2 separate regions of the Mus musculus genome follow, and region 1 is reported to be linked to region 2. Evidence: microRNA targets listed by miRTarBase, many of them from high-throughput screens and not tested one by one. Region 2 holds a microRNA gene; the other region holds the end of a gene's coding sequence.

What was found. The annotated mature microRNA mmu-miR-5130 reads CUGGAGCGCGCGGGCGAGGCAGGC and lies in region 2 at 2,178-2,201, shown strand. An mRNA with a match to its seed (bases 2 to 7 or 8) in the 3' UTR can be bound and repressed. Matches are read on the target gene's strand: a 7mer-m8 pairs with bases 2 to 8, a 7mer-A1 pairs with bases 2 to 7 and ends in A, and an 8mer does both.
Region 1: the mRNA of Pld5 is a reported target of mmu-miR-5130. Seed matches in the 3' UTR shown: 7mer-A1 at 5,513-5,519.

Annotation. Positions count from the first base shown.
Region 1 is chr1:175,957,520-175,964,640 of GRCm38, forward strand. It overlaps Pld5 (phospholipase D family, member 5), which reads right to left. Exons shown (of 10, transcript NM_176916.4): 10 at 4,787-6,565. The coding sequence ends at 6,309. Among named protein-coding and RNA genes, the nearest start is that of Becn2, 41 kb to the left of the region's middle.
Region 2 is chr14:102,977,688-102,984,808 of GRCm38, reverse strand. It overlaps Mir5130 (microRNA 5130), which reads left to right and starts at 2,177; the gene lies at 2,177-2,260. Kctd12 (potassium channel tetramerisation domain containing 12) reads left to right here and starts at 2,172. Exons shown (of 1, transcript NM_177715.4): 1 at 2,172-7,121. The coding sequence starts at 2,369. The coding sequence ends at 3,352.

The sequences.
Region 1 (7,121 bases), not on the chromosome of region 2:
GGTGGGGCTGGGGTGTAGTTCAGCGGGAAAGCACTTGCTAGCGTCCTCAAGGACTTGGCTTTGGTCCTCGGCTTTGCAAACAGAGCCTGACACCAAAGGGACTTTGCAGAGAAGACACGGTGTATTTACTATAGATTTTAGGCATAGATCTGAGATAGGGCAATGGATGAATACCATAGGCAGTTGGACCAGCTATAAGTCCAGGACATGGTCTACATGACATCTCTTCATAAAACAGTGTTTGCTTTTTTATTTTCCTCAAAGTCTATACACCCTGACGTCACATTTTATTTTAAAAACATCAGATAGGAATAGTATTACAAGGATGTTTGTTGGGTGAAGCACTCCACAGTGGTCCAAGCTCCACAGGGTCAACTGTAGCTCCCTCATTCACTGTCTAAAGCAGTACCTGCCTTCTAAGATCAAGCTGAGGGAAAAAGAAATGGCTAGCTTCACAGTATGACAAAGATTTATAATACTTATGCTTGAAAAAGAAAGCCTTAGTGTTTGGTTACATAAAAGAATTGATCACTGTAAAGCCCCCCCTTCAGCCTTTTATTAGCCAATTTAGTTAATTGTCTGAAGATTGATATCCCCAAATATAAATTTATATAAGGGTGTATTAGAAACACAAATATCCCTTGAAACAGAATTAAGTCAGTAGTTGCATATAACAAAAGAAAATGCAGAAGAATTTATTACATCTTACATTTCTTACCTTTTCTGTATTTATTTTAAATGTTTATTATTTATTCGTTTAGTGTATTTGTGTGTTTGTGTGTGTGTGTTTATCACACATGAGTGTGTGTGCCAAGGCACATTTGTGAGAGTCAGAGAACAGTTTGCGGAGTCAGTTTTTCCTTCCATCCCGCAGGTCCTGGGGGTTGAACTCAGTTTGTTCGGTTTGGAGGTGCATGTCTTTCACCCACAGCCATTTTGTCAGACAGGGTCTCATGTAGTCCAGGTTGGTCTTGTGGTTGCTATGTGGTTAAAGATGTCATAGAATTCCTGACTCCTCATCACTTAAGTTCTGGGATCCTAGGTATGCACTTCCTCACACAGCTAAGTATCACATTTCTCTTTGTTAGATTTCCAATGGAAGCCAACTGACCAGTGGACTTTTATAATCCCAAGTATAAGACTGCCTGTGGATCAAAAGTAAGAAGACTCAATTTCACAGTTTCAAGAAACTGCTTTAGAATACCCATCCAGTTGCCATAAAAAGCAGTGCCTTCTAGTTCATCCAAAGGTGGGGATTCTCAAATGGAAAAAGTAGGCTAAGAGCTGGGGATAGCCTTCCTAATTTCATTTAGGTCAAAAATGACAGGCAGCTCTCTGGTTAATGAGCTATGTGATGGTATGTGTATGCTTGGCCCAGGGAGTGGCTCTACTAGGAGGTATGGCCTTGTTGGAGTAGGTGTGTTACTGGGCATATGACCTTCACCCTAGCTCCTTCCACTAGCAGCCTTCAGATGAAGACGTAGAACTCTCAGCTTCTCTTGCACCATGCCTGCCTGGATGCTGCCATGTCCCCACCTTGACTGGACTGAACCTCTGAGCTTATAAGCTAGCTCCAATTAAATGTTGCCTTTTGTTTGTTTGTTTTGTTTTGTTTTGTTTTGTTTTTGTTTTTTGTTTTCTGTTTCTCGAGACAGGGTTTCTCTGTGTAGCCCTGGCTGTCCTGGAACTCACTTTGTAGACCAGGCTGGCCTCGAACTCAGAAATGCACCTGCCTCTGCCTCCCAAGTGCTGGGATTAAAGGCGTGAGCCATTATGCCCGGCTTTAAATGTTGTCTTTTATAAGACTTGAATTGGTTATGGTGTCTGTTCACAATAGTAAAAATCCTAACTAAAACAAACTATAAGGGGACAAGGAAGGGGGTGGAAAGCATGGGCTACAGAATAATTTATCTAATATATGTTCTCAGTCAAACTTCTTATAATAGGGTACAGCAATTCATTGAGAATACACAGGCAAAGGAGAAAATTCACCTATTATCCAGGGCTGTTGATAGGATGGAGTTTGAATAATAACAACAAAGTGTTTGCATTACAGGAGCTGACTGCTCTATGCAGGGGAAGGACACAGTTTCACATGAAAATATAAAATAATATTTAAAATATTTAAATTTAAAATTTATGAAACTTTTAAATAATTCAAAGTATTGGAATTAATTTAATTATAATGGAATTTAAATTTTAATTTAATGGAATTAAAAATAATTTTAAAATAATAGAATAGAATTTGGAGAGAGAAACCCTTACAAAAGTCATGCATTTAGGTGAGAAATATAAATTTTAAAAGAATAGCATTCCTGAGACAGATGGACACTGGGTCTGATTCTACCAAGAAATTCTCCCTGACTTGTTGTTTTTGCTTTTGTTTTTAATTTTCTCCCTCTGGAACTTAGTTCCATAAATTTCTATAAGCAAATAGGAATCTCAGAATGAACGAATCCAAGTCACTTGAGAAGAGCTACAGTGGGATATGAGCCTCTCTACCCATCCCAGGTTCAATGAGATGCTTCTGACAAGCCAGTAACCATGCGTTAATAAAACACCTTTTTCAAAGAGTAAGATCAATCAACAGAATGTGATCCAACCAATCCGACTAAGAATGGCGTCAGAGTCTCAGATCAAGCAGCGCAGATTCCAAGGGAACAGTGCCCCGAGCAACACAGAAGCAGGAGCTTCCACACATCTTTTATTTCTCTTGCTGAGCCTGCGAGACTCAAAGACATCAATTTTCACGTTATGTTCCACAGGACCTTGGCAGCATTTCTTACACACTCCTTAAAGTCAGCACAAATGGGGGGGGGCAGGTTGGGCTGGGGGAGGTATTTGCACTGTGTCTTGTTTCCGTCATTTTCAGGCTCACAAAGTATAGTATTTGCAGGGAGTGGTTACAATTTCATGTTCCCCTTCCTTTCCCATGGCCTGCTAGCTCTGTGACTTCATATATGAGTAGCCAGTGACAGTGTAGTGAAAGTCACCAGGACAAACATAGGAGAGTGTGTGCCAGCGACTGGTGAGGATGATATATACATTTTATGTGTCTTGGGAAAACTGCAGGATGCATAGAAACTGTGGGTTCCACACGTTTGCTTTCAACCAGTTGGTCTGTCTGAGGCCATGCTGACTCCAAAGTGAGCAGATATGGCCCATATGGTGGGTCACTGTTGAATTTTGAAAACCAACATTTGAGAATAAATAAGGCACTAAGTTATTGTTAGTGATGGAGAAATCTAAAATGTATCTCAAACTGTGTTTGGTCTCCATCCCTTTGAAGAACAGACCCAGAATATCCCTGGAGAAAAAAATGTAGGACCGAAGTCACCTTCTTCATATTTTCCATCGGGGTATATCTCCAAATTACAAGTAGTCTTGGAGTGCTTTTTGTTTTCTGTTCTTGAGAAATAGATCCTAAGCTATTTAGAAGGGGAAGAATGGAAGTTAGTTATTTATCTTGCAGAGACTTAAAGTCTAAAAGATAAATGCCCCCTTTGTAGGACAGCATCCTGCTGAAAGAGAGCAGTCTCCTGAATTAGACGTTCTCTCAGGGGGCAGATGACACTGGGCACTCTGCACAGGGATCATTTCCCTGGGTGCTGCAGAAGGAGAGTGTTGCATGGTGGGGTGATGTGCTTAGCTGTGATGGCACAGACAAGGGTTACCAGGTCAGGCAGGGCTCCTGGTGTGTGGCAGATGCCTGTGATACATGCACAGGGCTGCCATGATGGTACGTTTGGGAATAAGTGACCTGCTGGTCATTTCATAAGTGACAATGATCTCTTTTCCTATTGCACAATACCCAAGGCAGCAACAGGGAGAGGGCCCATGCCCCCAAACCTTTGTTTGTCTCATGAGACTATTGACAAGGAATCTGGGTGACAATGGAGGGAGCCCAAAGGGAGACAACCTTTGAAGTTTCCCTTTGAATCAACCAAGGTTCCCTTTGTCTGTCCAAGAGTGAACAAGCTAGTATGTCTCCACCTTGAACCATTGCCTCCTTCCTTCCTTGGAAAATTATTCCCAAAGCTATTTTCAGACAGCTGCCAGGATGACACCCAATTCAAGGATGGAGTATATGGTAAATACTTAAGAGTCTTGTAGGCTGACCATTATTAATGAAAAGTATCACTGAGAGTCTTTAAATCAGCCCATAAAACTCGATACCCTTTAATCATAGCTTTCTCATCGGATGCTGTGTCCCTGTCCCTCTCTTAATCTCTGTCTTTCTCTCTTTTTCTTTCCATTAATTTTTGTTTGTTTTTCTGAAACAGGGTCTCTCTCTATGTAGCCTTGGCTGTCCTAGAACTTTCTATGTAGCCTCTAACCTACAAAGATCTTCCTGCCTCTGCCCCACCCCCACCCCCCAGTGAGCTGATATTAATGGCATGCATCGCCATGCCTGGATACTGTCCCAGCTCTCTTGACTGGTTTTAAACACCCAGTGAGGTGACAGGTGTCTTTGGCAGGAAAAGAACATGGGTGATCAGTAGGACTGTGAACAGCCTTCTGTGTCAGTGAACCTTTGAGTAGGGAACTCTTTTTGGCATCATTAAAACCAAGTCTCTCAAGATCAAATGAGATTGCTCATCCTTGTTCTAAAAACACAGGCACACACTGGTGCTAATGGACCATTTGCAGCGCAGCATCTAGTTATGTGTTATTATTTATGTCACCGTGACCAGGCTGCATGTTCCATTCAAATACCTACCATTCAGATGGTCACTCTGACCAACCTTCTCCACCCCTGGCCCCCATTCATATCACCTGTGTTTGCAAACAGAAAGTGCTTTATTTTGCCCTCTGGATTCTTCGGGAGAGTGCCTGGTATTGGTGCTACCAGGATACCACAGAGATTATTTCAAGAAAAAGATTATGCAATGTTAATGCTTAGCATTTATATAGGTTCTTTTGATTTCAAAAACAACTTATAAATATCGCCTACCATGACAGCATCCTTGCGAGGTAGGTGAGGATTATTGTCTACATTAACAATAGAAAACCGGGGCCAAAGAGGGAAGGGCTCTGTTCTGAGCACAGAGTCAGGAGCCACACTGGGCATAGGCATCTTGACCACTTCCTCTGGCCCTGAAGAGGTCACACCCCTCTCATGTACCAACAGTCTTTTTTAATACAGGATTATATATTATATAGATATAAAACAACACACAATGACATTATAGAACAGTAATCCAATATTTCTGTTTCTTAGTAAAATATGTTAAGCACAGTATTTAAATTGCATTTGTCTGAAAAGCATTTGGTATATTAAATAGCAGAAGGTATATTAAATAGCTCTATTATAAACATTTGCTGGCATACTCTTAACAGCATAATAATTCTAAATAAATTAAAATCCACCGACGCATAGACCTTTCCTTTATAATACTGTTAACCAAACAGAAATGTGAAACTGCTTTATTCTTCAAATGCAGACTTAATGGCTTGCTGGGTATTAGCAGGGGCACTTCATTTCTTTTTTTTTTCTTTCTTTTTTTTTTTTTTGGAGCTTGAGGAAAGGATATGTGTGTGTGTGTGTGTGTGTGTGTGTGTGTGTGTGTGTGTGTGTTTAAAAAATGTAATTGAAAGGAGAAAGTGAAAGACTGATTTCCATTCTGTATACATTCTGGGGAATTCATATCATTTCCCCAAGACATTCTCACTTTTTGAACTAATGCTGAGATGAATCCAAGGATGATGTAAAACAAGAACATGTTTGTCAGAAGACAGACTGATACCCTCAAAACCCTGGTATCAGAAGACAAGGAACAAGGGGACAGAAATGAGTGTTTTTCAGAAGTCTTGAAGGCTGGCATGAAATGGAGGTGCCTGTGCTCAGCTGCCTGGATAGGTCTTAGAGAGGATATGTCAGGGCAGATGCTTGGTTCTGTCTGCATCTTCTCCCCCCTTCCTCTAATTCCAGAATTCAGCAATATTAAAGGAAAGGGCTCACCTCATGTTATTCTTCTTAAAACCAGTGCTGATGGGTCAGCAGAAAAGATTCTAAAACCAGTAAGAATCAGGAGACAAGAACCAAGTCGTAAAATGTGTTTGCAGTCATTAAAAACTAACTCCTAGGCCAGAACAACATTCTCTGTCAGAGCTCATAGATACAAAAGTCTTAAATTTAATATACAGTGCTAAGATGTTGTTAGCTAGATATTACATGTCATTCAGAGAACATTTTAAATAAGTGTGCTTTTTATTTCTCCTTAATAAAAGAAAAGATGTAGTAAATTGTTGTCTTTCCTCTAGTCCTTCCTGCATTTGGTCTGAAGCCTTGTGTGTCTGTTAGTGAGCTATACGCTCAGCGGCTCCCTCCCGGTGGCATTGGCCATGGCAGGTTGCTTGGAGGGAGACTTGAGTTTGGACAGGCTTGAACAGTTCGGTTGTTTGGTGGGCTGTATGGATTTGGCATAAGGCGAATACCAGTCCCTCTCAAACACGTCCTTCAGTTGCTTAATGATGCTCCTGTTGTCTCTCACATCTGCCTGGTTGATGACAAGGCCCGTGCCAGCGTTCTGGGTAAAGTCATTCCCTACCCAGTCAAAATTTCCTACAAATAAAGAAATGATGATGAGAAGGTACGGTCCACTGGGAAAAGTCCCACTATAATGAAATACAGAACAGATTATATATACATATATATATATATGTATATATATATATATATATACAAACAAACAAACACCCAAAATAATAAGAGAGGCAGAATCCTGATGACAGCTCCCGAGGAAAAAAATTGCTAGAAGCTCCACATATGGCAGATTAATATTTGCATATTATTTTGGCATTTTCTTCAGCTTCGCTCAAGTCGAAACTCAAAACAAGAAATCTGCTGTTCTTTTCCTGTAAATGTTATTTCTTATTGATGTTCACAAGACACACTAAATACAGCAACATTTAAAATATATAGGAATACACTTAAAAATCCTGTGAACAATTACTACCTTCTCAAAGAGACAACATCGAATCCATATGCATAAACATTATTATGCAGAGATGCTTCACCACTGAGACAAAGCAGAAGGCAGAGATATGACTACAGCATTCCCTAAGGAGACTGGAAGGTATCTCCCCAGGGTAGGACTGGAGGCTTGGCCAGGATTGAT
Region 2 (7,121 bases):
CACAGGGTCTGACTGGATCCTTCTCTTTGGTCTAGTGATGGAAGACTGATGGGTGCTAGAGTAGAGGCAGTTTGGAGGTCCAGGCAGTGATCTGAGGTGATAATGAGGTGATGTTGGCTTGGTCAACATGAGGTAATGTTGGCTTGGTCTTGAGGGGTGGTGGAGAGGTAGTGACCCTAAGACGGGAAGGATCTTGAAGGGAGACATGGCAGCATAGAACAATGACCCAGTTGTGCCAAGGTGACACTGAAGTCTTTTCTTGGGCTTACAGAAAAGTGGCAGTTTTGTCAGGCCTGAGATGCTGATATATCACATTCAGTGTCGGGACTCGGAACTTTCCTGTCATCTATCATTTATCCCAAGGAACAGTTGAAGAATGGTGAAATATATTCAGTATCAGAAATCTGTGCCTGCAATTAAGCAGGCTGGTCTGGGGCCTGATCTTATTTCAGCTCTGTGACACGAGTGCAGTAATTGTTTGGCAGACATAAACATTTCAGAAATGAAAATGACATTCATCCGTGAGAAGACTATCAAGCTCATTGGACAGTCGCACAAAGGGTAGACATCATTATTAAGACAAAGATCTTTCTGGGCTTATTGTGATTGACAGCCTGTCCTTCAAAGTGATCTGATAACTGTTCAGATGGCCAACCCTTTGCCTCTTGGCTGCTCTAAAGGAGATGTAGGTAGTCAGCCTTGAATTCTCCACAGCCTGATGCCCAGCAACGTATAAGAGCATTTATTAAAATTGTGGTTTTTCAGAGTCTCCTCTATCTTGGGCTTCTTGAAGCCCTTATCTATTTATTCACCAAAAACCAACGATCAGATAACAGACCACAAATTTGAGATTTCAGAACGTGCCAAGTGCAAAGATGGGAATTTGAAGAGCAACCTGTCTCATTCCCCTGGGAGACCATGGAAGGTTTCCCGGCAGTGGCAGAATTCTGTGGGCTGAAATTTGTGCATGACTCCAAACGCTGAACAAGTAGGAGTCCATAGAGAGCATGGCTAAATCTGAAGGGCCTTCAGACCTACACAGCCTTTCTTCTCTGGTGGACGGTCTTGTAAAGTACAGAAGAGAACGATGGAGGGAGGAGGAGAACACGGGTTACTGGACCTTTAGAACAGTTATGCATGGGCTAAAAGTAAATTATTTTCTATACGTGCATTAACATTTCAAGGAACAAATAAAACATCAGCGGAATTTTAGTAAAATAATGAAATACTAGTAAAATCATTAAATACTAATAATACGAATAAAAGAAAATATTAGATTGGAATTTTCTGGTGCGATTTACAGATGGCTGAAAGCAACCGGAGGCCTCACGTCCCACTATTGGAGGCGCTTATTAGCTTTTCTTGCCCACGCAGTGTAAGCCCCTCCCCCCCCCTTTGTGTCCACCCAACTTCCTCTCCTAGTCATTTCTGCTCACTGCAGTACTGTGTTGTGGTTTCCTAACCAAAGACTTTATGCTCTCGCAAAATAATCTAACAGAGCATTTTCGCGAAGCATTCGCTTGTGGTTTCTAGGGATTTTTCGAGGCTATACGCTAGTCACATAGTCACGTGAAAAACCTTTGGGTGGTCTGGACTTGAAGGGACCGGTGCATCCTTTCCAAGTTAGTGTCTCTTCAGAACTTCCAGAGACCCGGGGATGGATCTCCAACAGCAGCGCTCTGCACTGTTAGAAGCGGGTAGGTCTAGAGGGCGCTAGCCGCAGGCAATCAAGCTTTTCCACTCTGCCAGAAAGTTTCCAACCCCTTCTGGAGTCCCCGGGTGCCGGCTGCGGTCAGCCGAGAAGGGCGGCGGGAGGGGAGGTGGGAACACAAGAGGATCGCTTTAGTGATCAGCCTCCTGGAGAAGCGCCTGGAGGCTCTGACCCACTGCGGAAGAGGAAGAGGAGCTGGGCCCGGAGCGGGTGGGCGGACGGGCGGTGACAGTCCGGTCGTCCCCCGGAGCGCGCGGGTCAGGGTGGAGCCTGCAGCCCCGAGCCGCGTCAGCGTTTAGCATGCAAATGCATTCCCCGCTCCTCCCCCACCCCCACCCCGCCCCAGCCCTCCCCGCCCCGGGAGCGAGCTCAGCGGCTCCGCAGCCGCCCACCGCCTCCTGCGCGCCGCGCCGCCCAAGCGGGCGGCTCTACTTAAGCGGCGCGCGGGCCGCGACCCGCCACTCGCCTGGAGCGCGCGGGCGAGGCAGGCGCAGCGCACCGGGGCTCTCGTGGGCGCACTGCTGCGCGCTCGCACCGCGCGGCTCTCAGTGGCCGGCCGCCGCCTGAGCGCAGGGCTCCCCGATAAGAGCCGCTGGGGCTTCCGATCGCGACCCCGCTCCCTGCCACTTGGCCCATCCGGGCCACCTCTTTTTGGCCATGGCTCTGGCGGACAGCACCCGAGGATTACCCAACGGGGGCGGAGGCGGAGGTGGCAGCGGCTCGTCGTCGTCCTCGGCGGAGCCGCCGCTCTTCCCGGACATCGTAGAGCTGAACGTGGGAGGGCAGGTGTATGTGACCCGGCGCTGCACCGTGGTGTCCGTGCCCGACTCGCTGCTCTGGCGTATGTTCACGCAGCAGCAGCCGCAGGAGCTGGCCCGGGACAGCAAAGGCCGCTTCTTTCTGGACCGGGACGGCTTCCTCTTCCGCTACATCCTGGATTACCTGCGGGACTTGCAGCTCGTGCTGCCCGACTACTTCCCGGAGCGCAGCCGGCTGCAGCGCGAGGCCGAGTACTTCGAGCTGCCGGAGCTCGTGCGTCGCCTCGGGGCGCCCCAGCAACCCGGTCCGGGGCCACCGCCGCCGCACTCGCGCCGCGGGGTGCACAAGGAGGGCTCTCTGGGCGATGAGCTGCTGCCGCTGGGCTACGCAGAGCCCGAGCCGCAGGAGGGCGCCTCGGCCGGGGCGCCTTCGCCCACGCTGGAGCTGGCTAGCCGCAGCCCGTCCGGGGGCGCGGCGGGGCCCCTGCTCACGCCGTCCCAGTCTTTGGACGGCAGCCGGCGCTCCGGCTACATCACCATCGGCTACCGCGGCTCCTACACCATCGGGCGCGACGCTCAGGCGGACGCCAAGTTCCGGCGGGTGGCGCGCATCACCGTGTGCGGCAAGACGTCGCTGGCCAAGGAGGTGTTTGGGGACACCCTGAATGAGAGCCGGGACCCCGACCGGCCCCCGGAGCGCTACACCTCCCGCTATTACCTCAAGTTCAACTTCCTAGAGCAGGCCTTCGATAAGCTGTCCGAGTCGGGCTTCCACATGGTGGCGTGCAGCTCCACGGGCACCTGCGCTTTTGCTAGCAGCACCGACCAGAGCGAGGACAAGATCTGGACCAGCTACACCGAGTACGTCTTCTGCAGGGAGTGAGCTCCCCACGCCCGCCCCTCGCCACTCCGGTGCCCACTTCCCTTCCTCCCCTCGGGGGACAGGATTATAGATGCCCTCGCTTCCTCCCTGTTTCCCGATTCCTTCTGCCCCCACCCCCAGATCTCCTAGTAGGTCACCCAGACCCGTCTGCACCCCACTTGCGAATCTGCAGCCACAAATCCTCTGGGCGTCTTCATCATCTTTGGACCCCACTAGCCGAGAGAGTGTTCTGATGTAGCCCTTCACTCATGCTTCCTCTACTCCTGGCCTCCAACCACCCTTCCCCCAGATTGTCGTGATCTAGTGGGACAGTCACCAAGTACCTGGGAATGACTGAATTGATCAGAATCGGATTGCACGGTGTCCGGCGTGCAGTTCGGACGAGTCCTTGACATCTTAAACCCTTTGACTCCATAGCGGTTTCAGAGATCAGAACTGAGAGTGCTGTGTGGAGAGAGTGCTTTAAAAGGTTGTTAGAGATTTGACCCTCATTAGAAAGAGAGTTTTAGACAATTGAATGGTAGACCGTATGCTGGAAGACCCCAAGGACGCAGTTCAGAGACTGTAAATAAAGAGATTTTTTTGTTTGTTTTTAAAGTTACAGGTAGAAGTAAATTCTAGTACTGGCAACAGGGGAGAGTTCTATTTACCCCCAACACATTAGATCTCCTGTGGCTTAAAATTGTAGAAAGCAATCCTCCTGCCTGCGGAGGCGCCCTTTCTCTTCAGCTGTTTGCCGAGCTTTAGGTTTTGTTGGTTAAGGCTTCTAGGCTAGGAGCAGGCAGGGAGCGGGAGGCAGCGCTTCTAGAAGTCACCTGGCAGTGACCCAGTAACGCAGGAGTGGTTAGTAGGGACAGTCAGCCCTTACTTAGGTCTAGGACTGTGGGAGGGTTGGGGAGGGAGGAAAGATGGGAGGAAGGGCGGGAGGGAGGAGGGGGACATGCTCATTTATTATTTGAAAGTTGGAAGTTTGTATAATCCATTTGAGTATGTGCGCATTTAAAAAAATATGAAACAGTACGTGTAAACTTAGATTTTATCAAGATTAGTAGAAGACCCATCTTCAGCTGGAAGTCTATCGAGCTATTTTGAGTCCTAAACTTAGTTGCTAATACTTGTATAACCTAACCAAAGAGTTACCTAGTAGAGTTTTTAGTGATTTGAACATTTATTTTTCTTGTTGATTCTATTTCCTCACTTATAGCCTATTTACTTAAGCAAAATAAGTTTGATTTTTAATTACTTAGACTTCAGATCTCTTTATTATTATTATTATTATTGTTAGCAGTAGTGTTTTTAAATTGATGTTTTCTGCAAGGCCAGCAAGTGTGGGCTGCTGGGCTGTTCTGAAAACCGGAACAATGCTCTTTCTTTCCTGCGTTTGTTTGACGTTGCAGTGACAGATTCGAAAGATCAACGGAAGCACGGGGGGGGGGGGCTGCCCATCTGTAGATAGCTGTCAAGTGGAATGTTTCTAAATGAAGGCAAATAAGTACTTCAGTGTGAGCCGAGCAATAACGCGGTATTTAGGTGAATGCAACAGAAACAGGGGACCTTTGCCTTATTGCCTTTCCTCTCACGTGGAATGAATTCCCAGTGTGTATCCTGTGTACACCACAGCAGAGAGGAGGTATGCCCGTATGCTTCCACACCACAGCAGAGAGGAGGTATGCCCGTATGCTTCCCTCTGAGAGACGTCCTTTGGATAATCTGTGATTACAGAGAAGCCTTTGTGTATGTGTGTGTGTTTGTTTTATCATCTTACTCTGAAATATGTTTTTAAGGATTTTTGTAAGAGCCATTTGAAGTGTTTAAATTAGAGCTATTTTTTCCTTGTTTTTAAAAAACGAACCTTGTACCGTGTATCTCATCATATCCGAGGCAGATGTTATGAATTGGGACAGTTTTATTCTCAGACTCCTGTGATCAAATCTGTACATACCATATACAAACATTTTACACGAATCATTTAGTTTTTTAATTCATCTACTGATGCTATAAAATTTCCTATATTTACCCCTGGTAACTTGCATTTGATGGTGTATATACAAAAGCAACGCATTTTGGTGAGCTTCTCATATCCTTGCCTGTGAACTTGGGTCAGGAAAACAGTCACAACTACAAGGCTGGGTTTGCTCCATACTTTTTTGCTGGGATGTTAGTTGTATAGTAATCATGTGTCAGCTACCTGTATTCAAGCTATCCATATTTTTAATCCAATGATGTCTTCATTTTAATTGGGAGATTTTTTTTTCCTTTAGAGAAGAGTTAGCTTCATGTACAAAGTGTGTGATTTTAAAGAAAGGGCAGCAGGGGTCCAGGAAGCTGTGCTTACTCCAGCTTTGGGCTTGTTTTTAGGCGGTGGATCAGGTAATGGCTCAGAACCTTTGTTTCAAGCCTGAAATGACTTAGGACTGTCAATCACTGGCCAAGTGTGAGTCTCAGACTTCTCCCATGCCACGGAACAGTGCTAGATTGCTTAAGAAAGAAATGTATGAATAAAAACCATCTTTAGGACAGCTCAAAATACACTGAGAGATGACAAAACGGAAGTTCTAGCTTCCTTGTCAAGTCTGCATAACACTAGAAGCCATGGGAAACTGCTGAAGTTTTGTCTGCATTGTTTATGAATTGAAGCTTGGAAAATTATTCAGTTTGTCTCACTAACACACAGACATTTCTGTACCTTCCACCATACTGGCTGGCCTGTTAAAGATTGGGCCATTAGTATAAGGGACAGTACATGGACCTCTTCCTGGGAGTGACTGTGCCCTCTGCTGTTAGGGGCAATGCATAAAAACTTAGTGCTTTTCAGCCCAAGTTAAGTCTGAGCAGTCATCTCATTATATGATAGGTAAGTATGACTGAGCCAGGCTGATGTCGTTGGGTCCTTTCCTCTCCATGCACTTTGGGTTGTAGAAGAAACCCTTAGGGCTTATAAAATGTTCTGAAATCTCGGTCAGCACCTGTGAATTTGATGACTGTACCAAACAGTGGAGCCTCTCTCATCAGTATCTTTGAAATGACCCAGAAGAATATTATAAACTACTCAGATATTCACGGCTGCATTAATCTATCTCAGAGAGGCAATCATTTGCATATGTTGATCAAATTACCATTTGATGCTCATAAATAATGGAATGACATTAGGTTTAATAAGTAATTTTTTTAAAAAGTGTTGACAGTCTCTGTGGTTGTAAAAAAACAAAACAAAACAGGTCCCAGGTTCCATGCTTGTCTATCAGATGTTTGATATGTCTGTTTTTATTTTAATACGTGTGGATTACAAACCACATTCGTTCTAGATTTTCAAACATGTAATGGAAAATATACCTTGCAGGTGTGAGAAATTTCCCCTTTAATACTGTTTTTATTCTAGTGTGTCTTATTTGTTTTTGTTCAGTTGCTAGCAAAATGATAATTTTAGCCCCAATTGTCTTCTTTTTCAAAGCAGAATCATATGTGTGTATACCTGCTGCTTCTCCGGGGAGATGTATGATGTGCCAATACCCAGAGACAACTGGCAGTGCTTACAACGTGGTCTAATTTCTATGGCCGTTTCCATGGAATGCAGTTATTACGTTAAAGCCATGTATTACGAAGCTTTGATAAATTTTTAACTCTTCATATTATGATAAATTCCAATCTAGCATTCAAATAATTTTTGTACTCCTATATGTAAAATGAGCTATACAAATATTTAGAAAAATATTGAGTGAAGGAAGTGAATTCCTTAAGAATTTCTTTTACAGTCTAAAATTACAAGTAC